2 linked regions of the Macaca fascicularis genome follow. The protein of the gene in region 1 binds, or shares a complex with, the protein of each later gene. Links are inferred from orthologs where the notes say so. Each region holds a gene or a part of one and is shown on either strand. Other genes may lie near its edges.

What was found. Proteins that work in one complex are often made in the same cells at the same time.
Region 2: the proteins of SEC31A (region 1) and PDCD6 are in contact, whole or in part, in a crystal structure (PDB 3WXA), measured with the Homo sapiens proteins. The link is inferred for Macaca fascicularis from reciprocal best matches to the Homo sapiens genes SEC31A and PDCD6. Residues at the interface, in NP_001070675.1 of Homo sapiens: Asn837, Pro838, Pro839, Pro840, Pro841, Gly842, Phe843, Ile844, Met845; in NP_037364.1 of Homo sapiens: Val31, Val35, Leu48, Ala51, Leu52, Ser53, Asn54, Gly55, Thr56, Trp57, Phe85, Trp89, Ile92, Gln96, Phe99, Phe148.

What each region holds. Positions count from the first base shown.
Region 1 is NC_088379.1:50,982,536-50,987,584, reverse strand, and holds part of SEC31A (protein transport protein Sec31A), read right to left. Parts: intron 4,554-5,049; coding exon 4,392-4,553; intron 4,196-4,391; coding exon 4,043-4,195; intron 1,909-4,042; coding exon 1,672-1,908; intron 718-1,671; coding exon 643-717; intron 1-642. UniProt on the Homo sapiens protein: Component of the coat protein complex II (COPII) which promotes the formation of transport vesicles from the endoplasmic reticulum (ER).
Region 2 is NC_088380.1:624,758-629,806, forward strand, and holds the end of PDCD6 (programmed cell death protein 6), read left to right. Parts: intron 1-926; coding exon 927-1,036; intron 1,037-4,310; coding exon 4,311-4,409; 3' UTR 4,410-4,870; downstream 4,871-5,049. UniProt on the Homo sapiens protein: Calcium sensor that plays a key role in processes such as endoplasmic reticulum (ER)-Golgi vesicular transport, endosomal biogenesis or membrane repair.

The DNA of each region.
Region 1 (5,049 bases):
CTCATTGGCGAAAATCCACAAAAGTTCTTATAGGAATAGTATGTTTAAAAAAACAATAAAAGCTATAACTGGTTCTCCACGGTTCTAGCTTCTTTCACACGGAAGTGATTAGAAATAATCTGACAATCATTCTATTTCCTCATTTTCTGCCATCAGGCATGCAAGTATAACTTTCATATATTAATCTCTTACAAGCCTAAAAAAGTTACAGCCTCAAGAAGTTTAGACTACGAATAAAGTTAAATATAAAACTCTAAAGGAGTGAGCAAAGACACAGCCACTAAGGAGTGGGGTTGTGATGTGATCTTAGTTCTGCTGGACATCAAAAGAGCACTAAACTTCAATATGCACTTACAGTGCACGGTATACCTCTATCACACATGCAACAACCTGCAATGTTACAGAAAACTCTTGTCATTTCCAAAGAATGATGAAAGGCTAATACAAGTATGTATTCAAAACTCTGGCAACCACTGTGGGTAATAATGGAGAATAAAAAAAGAAAAAAGAAAAAATGCTGGCAACCAAACACAAATTAGTATTAAATGTTTATTGGGTGATTTAAGATAATCTGTGTCAAACTTTATTTTTTTAAAGTGTGATTCATAAACAGCATGCCATCTAACTTTCCCGAAAGTTTACCTTCTTTCCTAGATCTTCTTTCCTGTATCCTAGAAGTTCAAGGTATTTTCCACGAGAATCATCCTCAAAGTTCACCTTTTAAAAAAAAGACATATTCTTAAAAGAAAGACCTACATTTAAAGGCCAACTTTTTATAAGAATGAATCAAATTCCAAAGAGAATTATTAAAATTATCTGAAGTCTACATTCTAAAGATTCATTGTTAGAACGAATCTAAAGAATAGTGGGTTTTTTGGTTTTTTTGTTTGGAGACCTAGCCTCAGGAGGTCCTGAGAACATGTGCCCAGAATCATTTTTTTAAAATAAGTGATTTTTTTAATAGTAAATATACTAGTAATTAATTATCCTGGTTGAATAAAGTTTACTTTTGAACAGTAAGTTTTTTAAATACAAACTTATGTTCAAAGGTTAAATTGATACAAAACTCAAACTATGTGGAATATTCTATGTCCTAAAATTCTTTCCCAAAATTATTACAAAATATAAATTATTTAATTTTAGACTTTACCCTACCGTATTCAAGACTGCTTTACTTGAAAAATCAGTACTGTATAAAGAAATAGACATTCCAGTGCAGGCAAAATGACCAACAAGGAAATTCTATTTGTTACTCTATCCTAATTCCTCTTAAAGTAAAAGGAAAAATGCCTCCAACCTCTCTCCTCTATTCCTCTTCCTTTTTCCATTTTCCTTAACTAGATCTAATATAGATATTAAATATTCTATGTTTTCATTATAGTAAACTCTATGTACTAATCTTCAAAATAGGTATGCTGACTATGTCTCTCTCCTCTAAACAGATCTATTTTTGTTTTCTTATTAAAAATGTATTTCGTATTACACTTTTCAAAGTAGAGAAGGAAAAACTCTGGACACAGGTTGTATGCTCTTTATAAGGCTTCTTAATTTCATGATGAATTGCTGAAATCACACTTTTTCAATTCTTTAAAAGGAAGACAGATTTAGAATATAATGGAACAGTTAAATTTGCAGATAATGAAATAATACAGCCTTAAATAGCAACTTTACCTTCAAAAAGGACCACACATTTTTCTCAAATTCAGTCTGAGAAGCATCAATTTTTTTTTGGCAATAATTGATAAATCCTTGTGACTGCACAGCCTGCTGAAGTTGGTCTGACCGGCTGAGGAACTCCTTTTCTGTTACAACCTGACTAATGAACACATGGTGCTGCTGCTGCTGCTGCTCAGCTCCCTGATGAGAAGGCATTCTAACATTCTCAAATGTAACCAGTTTGCCTCCAAACTATAAAAGAGAGAATGAACAAACTCAGTGTTAACCCGAGGATATGGCCAAAAACAGTGCTTATAAAGTGGCCTAAACAGATAATCTGGATGAAATTAGTTGATACCACCTCTCATGCGCCACAGTCTGACATCACTTCAATTTCTGTTCTAGATGAAATGTACTTTTTTTTTTTTTGAGACAGAGTTTCACTCTTAGTCACCTAGGCTGGAGTGCAAAGGCGGGATGTTGGCTCACTACAACCTCTGCCTCCTGGGTTCAAGTGATTCTCCTGCCTCAGCCTCCTGAGTAGCTGGGATTACAGGTGCCAGCCACACGCCTGGCTAATTTTTGTATTTTTAGTAGACAGGGTTTCACCATGTTGGCCAGGCTGGTCTTGAACTCCAAACCTCAAGTGATCCACCCAGATACAGAAGACCAGATAGGATGATGAGAAGATTAAGCAGATCCAAAGAACAGACTTATGAGTGACATAAAACATATTCAAAGGTCTATTTTAGGAAGATTAATCTTGGAATATGTAGTAAAGATTAGAGAGGAAAAAGACAAGCAACAAATATGCAATCAAGCTATTAGAAGTCTGGTGTGAAAGAATTAGGCAAAGTGTCAGCAATGTAAAAGGAAGAAAGAAACAAACAAAAAGTGCTAGAGAGGATGTGGAGAAACTAGAACCCTTGTGCACTATTAGTGAGAATGTAAAATGGTAACGGTATAGAGGTTCTTCAAAAACTTAAAAATAGAACCATCGTACGATCCAGCAATCCCACTTCTGGGTATATGTCTCAAAAAACTGAAAACAGGATCCCAAAACGATAATTACAAACCCATGTTCACCACAGCATTTATTCACAATAGCCAAAAGATGGAAGCAACCAAAATGACCATCAAATGAAAGGATAAAAAAAATGTGGTATATATATACAATGCAATATTATTTGGCCTGTAAAAAGAAGTAAATTCTGTCATGCTACAACACAAATAAACCTTGAGGACATTAAGCTAAGTAAAATAAGCCAGCCACAAAAAGACAAGTACTGCATGATTCCATTTATATGAGTAATTTAAAGTAGTAAAACTCCTAGCAACAAAGTAGAATGTGGTTACCAGGGATTCAAGGGAAAGAGGAAATGGGGAGCTGCTGTTCAAGGGCACAGAGTTTCAGTTTTGCAAGATGAAAAAGTTCTAGAGATCTGTTGCACAACAACATGTATATAGTTAACACTACTGTAGTATATATTTAAAAATGGTTGTAGTGTATATTTAAAATGGTTAAGATAGTAAATTTTATATTACGTATTTTTTACAATAAAAAAAGCTGACAATTAAAAAAGAAAGCTAAAAGGATGAAGAGGAGGGAGGACACTCCCTGTGAAAATAAAAGAAAAGAAAAGAGAAGAGAAGAGAAAAGAAAAGAAAAAAAGAAGGGAGGGAGGGAGCGAGGGAAAGAGCTAGAGAGACAGAGAGAGAGAGAGAGAGAGAGAGAGAAGGAAGACACATTTAAAAAAAAGGGAGGAGGGCCTGGTACAGTGACTCATGCCTGTAATCCCAGCACTTTGGGAGGCCGAGGCAGGTGGATCACCTGAGGTCAGGAGTTCGAGACCAGCCCCAGTCAACATGGTAAAACCGCATCTCTACTAAAAATACAAAAATTAGCCAGGTGTGGTGGCGTGCACCTGTAATTCCAGCTACTCAGGAGGCTGAGGCAGGAGAACTGCTTGAACCCAGGAGGCGGAGGTTGCAGTGAGCCGAGATTGCGCTAGTGCACTCCACCCTGGGCAACAGAGCAAGACTCTGTCTAAAATAAAAAAATATTTAAAAAAAAAAAAGTGGGGGGAGGAACATAGAGTGTTGGCTACACAACAACAATGTAAATGTACTTAATGCCATTGAACTGTACATTTGAAAATGGATAAAATGATAAATTTTATGTATATTTTACCATGTTTTTAAAAAAGGGAAAAAAAAGAGTAGGTTCCAGTTTTTCAGAGAAATCATTTTGAATGATGCAATACCCACAAATACATCTCAAATCCCAACTTAAACCCCGACTTCTTCCATCAGAGTGATCCTGTAATAACACTTTGGTATAAAAAGTCCTTTGTGACTATGGACCATAAAAACAAAATCCACCTACTGAAAAAGAAGCACCAACAGGCCTTCGAATCCACTTGGGCGGCTTCTTCAGAGGCAACACTATACTATGCTGAGCAGTCTGCTGTGGAATTTGTAATGGAGGAAGGGGCTGTCCTGTGCCGAAGGGATCAAGATTCCCAAAAGATGATGAAAGCTAAAAAAGATTAATAACATGAGAATCTGACCATACACAAACTATCTTTCATTTTTTTCCAGTCATATCCAAAAAAATTTTTGATCACAATTGTCCAATTAACCAGCAATGTTAATCAGTGAAGTCATTTCAAAATATTACACAACATGTACTTTTTTCAGGCATTATAATAGAAAACTTTAACACTTCCTATTACCTTGTCAACTTGTTTCTGTCTTAAACCGTCTGTGCTTCCTCCCATGATAGAATAAACACTGATACGCCCATCAAACGAAGCAGCTGATAAGACAGCAGGATTTCGGGGACACCACTGAATATCGAAGCACCACTGTGTGTTGGTGGGAAGTTCATATAACACCTGGGCCAACAAAAAACAAACAACAACACTCAGAAAATGGTGGTGTGGGGAAAAGAAAGAGAGATCAGACTGTTACTGTGTCTATATAGAAAGAAGTAGACATGAGACTCCATTTTGTTCTGTATTTGAGATGCTGTTAATCTGTGACCCTACTCCCAACCTTGTCCTTGCAAGAGACATGTGCTGTAGTGACTCAATAAATACTGAGGGAACTCAGAGACCGGTGCCGGCGTGGGTCCTCTGTATGCTGAGTGCCGGTCCCCTGGGCCCACTTTTTCTTTCTCTATGCTTTGTCACTTTGTCTCATTTCTTTTCTCAAGTCTCTCATTCCACCTCACAAGAAACGCCCACAGGTGTGGAGCACCAGGCCACCCCTTCATCTGGTGCCCAACGTGGGTGCTTTTCTCTAAGGTGAAGGTACGCTCGAGCGTGGTCATTGAGGACAAGTCGACAAGAGACTCCCGAGTATGTCTACAGTCAGCCTTGCGGTAAGCTT
Region 2 (5,049 bases), on another chromosome or scaffold:
GAAGGGGCTGTTTGTGCAGGCGATTAACTGTGAGATTCAGACAGTAGGTGCACACATCCCTGCAGAGATTCCAGCAGGGCTGAAAACCAGTAAAAACAGATCGGCACCTGGATCTTGCCTCCTGAGTCAGTAAGGCTGCCACAGTCACGAAGGCAGTGGGATTTCGAGGGAGGCAAGGGAGGGAGGCAGGCGGGGCGTGCTCTCCAAGGTGCCGAACACACCTGCTGCCTCCACACGTCTTCAGAGCCCTCTCCCTGTGGGAGGCCTTTTTCAGGACAGGCTCGGTGAACTGGAAACGAAATCCTAGCCCTTGGTGGCCCTGCAGTGACTTGGACCTTTCCGAGGTCACCCTGCCACTGTGCCCGTCAGTCCCTCATGGCGGGTGGGGCACATCCCCCAGACACTCCCATTTCTTGACATTGACACTTTGTATAACTGGAAACCTTCTGTGAAATTTTAGTTTTCAAAGCATTGTCTGGTGACAAGCAACCCAGGGCGGTGAATCATTCAGAATTTTCTTATCTAGGTTAATAAACATAATAAAATCAATAAGGACTTTGAAAGTAACTCCACTGGGTTCACGAACTGAGCGTGGCCGCCCTGTGGGGTGGTGGTTGGTGAGTGCTTCCCTGGGGTGAGTAGTTAATTCACGAGAGTGACCGATGGCAACGTCCCACTCGCTCCTCCTTCCAGGGTCCTGGTCTCGAGGGGTCGCTCCATGCACTGCAGATGTGAGCTCATTACACAGCGACGTATTCGGGAAGCGTCTCAGTTCTGAGTGCCTTTGAGTGAATTTGCACTTCCGTTCGCACCCAGCCTTGCATCGTGTGTGTTAGAGGCTGTGGGCCTTGGGAGGGAGGGGTGGGCGTTGGCACATACCTCCCGTCTCTCCCAGCCCTCTCTGACTCCAACTTTCACTCTTCAAGGCTACCGGCTCTCTGACCAGTTCCACGACATCCTCATTCGAAAGTTCGACAGGCAGGGACGGGGGCAGATCGCCTTCGACGACTTCATCCAGGGCTGCATCGTCCTGCAGGTGACGGAGTGGCTTTGCCTGGGTTTGCTGTGGTGGTGGGAGGGGTTCGCTTGCCAGCGTGATGCACCTGACCTTCAATCCAAGGAGTCAGGCGTATGTAGAATTAGTTTTTGGAGCTTGTAAGACTGAGTCTCATCTTTGGAGAAGTAGCTGGTTAGTGGAAGTGTAGACAAACATGTTTTCCTCCCCTTGGAAATGGCATAGAGCAGCCCATCTGGAAGACGCTGTTTTTGCAGTATCCGGTGGGTTAGTTACACGTATGTTCTGGTGTTCTGATTTTTTTTTTTTTTTTTTTTTTTTTTGAGACCGAGTCTCGCTCTGTCACCCAGGCTATGGCACGATCCCGGCTCACTCTCACCTCTGCCTCCCGGGTTCAAGCGATTCTCCTGCCTCAGCCTCCCCAGTAGCTGGGATTACAGGTGACACCCAGCTAATTTTTGTATTTTTAGTAGAGATGGGGTTTTGCCATGTTGGCCAGGCTGATCTCAAACTCCTGACCTCAAATAATCCGCCCGCCTTAGCCTCCCAAAGTGCTGGGATTACAGGCATGAGCCCCTGTGCCTGGCCAATGATAGTGTATTTTTGCAAAAACTTTTATTCTGAGAAAAGGGACACGTTTTCTGTTGTGGTCATCCCTGTGTCCTGCCGTCGTTGTGTGTGAGGTCAGCTGTGGAGCCTGTGGGCACTCGGGCTGCCCTCGGTGGGGTCTCCGCGCTCTTCCTGTGCACACCAGTGTCTGCAGGAGCTTGTAATGCACCCTGACCTGCAAGGCAAGCTCTTTGGTGACGTCTTTCCTGCTGTGCTCTCTCTGAGACGCACGGAGATGGAGAGCAGGGCTCAGGGGACCCGCCTGGGAGCTCCACACAGACCCCTGCTGCTGTGTGCAGGTGGAGATCCCGGTCTCCACCCAGATTCCTCAAGGTCCTGCCTTGGTGGCCGCGCAGTTCCGTGAGAGAGAGGAACAGCATGGGGTTTTTAGAAATAATGGGGAAATTCGGAAACGTTCCCAAATTGTTTATTCTATGTAACAATTAAAATGCTAGATCTGTAAAAGTGAGTTTCCTCTGGTTTATGGATCCATCAGTCCCTGCTCTTCAGGGATTTGTTGGAGAACCAGGTCTGTGAACATGGAAGCCTCAAAACTCGACAGTGGGGGAGCCTTTCCTGCCCTGCCTCTTGGGGTTCCTGCCACGTTGGATGATATTTTCACAATGTTCTCTGAACACTTTAAAAAAGTGTAGGCCGGGCCTGGTGTCACATGCCTGTAGTCCCAGCTACTCAGGAGGCTGAGGCAGGAGAATCACTTGAGCCTAAGAGGTGGAGGTTGCAGTGAGCCAAGATCACACCACTGCACTCCAGCCTGGGTGACAGAGCCAGACACTGTCTCACAAAAAAAGAGGGAAAAGATGCAGTGTAAAATCTCGTTATGTACCGTGACTGAATTGCTGTAGGATTCAGATCTTCATTTGAGACTATGTTCTGTAAGTTAACGTTGATCTTGTGTGAGCTTTCGGTAGCTGGAGTAACACTGGCGGCCTCACAGTGACCTCTCCAGCGCCTTCCAAGGCACATCCGCAGCAAGGGTAGCTCCTCCTGGGGGGTGCTGCCTCCCCAAGGCCCCGGCTCCAGACCGCGTGGGGAGGGCCTGACAGCCAGTTCCCGGGCTCTCCCCACCCTTGGAGAGTGACCCTAAACACTAGACAGATGGGGAATGGGAAAGAAAAGAAAGCTGCAGACCACAAGTTAAAATTCCCTCAAAAATGTTTTGATTCATCTGCTTTTTCCAAAAGGATAAAGGCTTTTTGAAAATTATTTTTTAACAAATAATATGAACACTTTTAGAAACTCTAGAAAAACACAAAGGATTCAAAATAGAAAGAAAAATTACGGCCGGGCGCCGTGGCTCAAGCCTGTAATCCCAGCACTTTGGGAGGCCGAGACAGGCGGATCATGAGGTCAGGAGATCGAGACCATCCTGGCTAATACGGTGAAACCCCGTCGCTACTAAAAAATACAAAAAACTAGCCGGGCGAAGTGGCGGGTGCCTGTAGTCCCAGCTACTCGGGAGGCTGAGGCAGGAGAATGGCGTGAACCCGAGAGGAGGAGCTTGCAGTGAGCTGAGATCCGGCCACTGCACTCCAGCCTGGGTGACAGAGCAAGACTCCGTCTCAAAAAAAAAAAGAAAAATTACCCATTATTCTTCAAGCCAGCATCATCCATTGCAGGTGTTTTTGGAGTTTGGTGAGGCCGTAGCTGCTGCCAAGTCCAGGGGCCTGGTGGTGCTGTGGCGTTCCTGCAGGGTGGTTTTTTTTCCTTTGAGATGGAGTCTTGCTCTGTCACCCCAGCTGGAATGTGGTGGTGTAAACACAGCCCACTGCAGCCTCGACCCCAAGTCTCAAGCGATCCTTCCGCCTTGGCCTCCTGAGTAGCTGGGATCACAGGCGAGAGTCACCACACCCTGTCCACGTTCTGATATGCGAGGACTGCTGTTTTCTTCCCTTGTCACATTTTCTTCTTCTTCTTCTTTCTTTTTCCTTCTCCTTCCTTTTTTTTTTTTTTTTTTTGAGAGACCCTTGCTGTCTGTCACCCAGGCCTGAGTGTGGTGGTGTGAACACGGCTCACTGCAGCCTCAACCCCCAGGCTCAAGCGATCCTCACGCCTTGGCCTCCCAGAGTGCTGGGATCACAGACGAGAGTCACCATGCTGGCCTGAATCTTCATGATAGTTTACGGCTGCCCCAAGTCCATCATCTAGAAGTGGCACTTACTTAACCATCCCTGTTAGGAGGGTGTAGGCGGTCACCCTGTCTCTGCTGCTGATCTGGCCTGGACCCTCGGCTGTCAGAGGGAGGGGTGGGCGGGGCTGAAGGAGCCTGAAGCCCTCGTGATGTCACAAGATCCCCCGCTGTGTCCTGAGCTCCACATAGCCCAGGTGGCCCCACAGCAGAGGCGAGCCACTGGAGGGTGGAGGGCCTCCACGGGACGGTCTTCAGGGGCGAAGGAAGGGCCCAGGCCCCCAGGAGACTCAGGAGACCAGGGCCTGGGATCAGGGGCTCAGCCAGGGCTGGACGTAGTGGAGCCAGCCCTGCAGCCCTGTGTTCTTCCCACTCCCACTGTCCATGTGAACAGCTCCAGCCCCACCTGTGCCTGCCTGTGCTGGGCTTCATCAGGAGATGACCTGTGTGCTTCTGAAATTGGGTTCCTAATGACTTTGTCCCAGTGCACCTTGCTCCTTCCGTTCACTATCGAGATTTAAATGTGTGTTTTCTCCCCAGAGGTTGACGGATATATTCAGACGTTACGACACGGATCAGGATGGCTGGATTCAGGTGTCGTACGAACAGTACCTGTCCATGGTCTTCAGTATCGTATGACCCTGGCCTCTCGTGAAGAGCAGCACAACATGGCAAGAGCCGAAACGCCAAAGTTCCTGCCTGTGAGGGAATGGAACCCAGATGCAGTTAGATGCTGTTCTTCCTTTAGATTTTACCGTGTGGGGACCCAGCTGTACATATGTGGATAAGGTGATTAATGTTTTCCAACTATAATAGTAGCTGCATCATTATAATGCAGACATTGGATTTGGTGACTGTCTCATTGTGCCATGAGGTAAATGTAATAATGTTTGAGGCATTCTGCTTGCAAAGAAATCTATCATGTGCTTTTCTAGATGTCTCTGGTTCTATAGTGGAAATGCTTTTATTAGCCAATAGGAATTTTAAAATAATATGGAACTTGCACAAAAGGCTTTTCATGTGCCTTACTTTTTTAAAAAGGAGTTTATTGTATTCATTGGTATATGCGACGTAAGCAATAAAGGGAATGTTAGACCTGTGGTCTGCCTTCAGCTCTTCAAATCAAATAGGTCCAAGAACCAGGCCCCATGCCCTGGTCCTACAGACAGTCACTGCGTCAGATGTGCTGGCTCGTCTGGGACCTCCCAGGGTCCTGGGCACCTTCTGGGACATTGTCCAGCCCAGCGTGCACAGCTCTGCTTGTGAAAAGCCAGAGGGA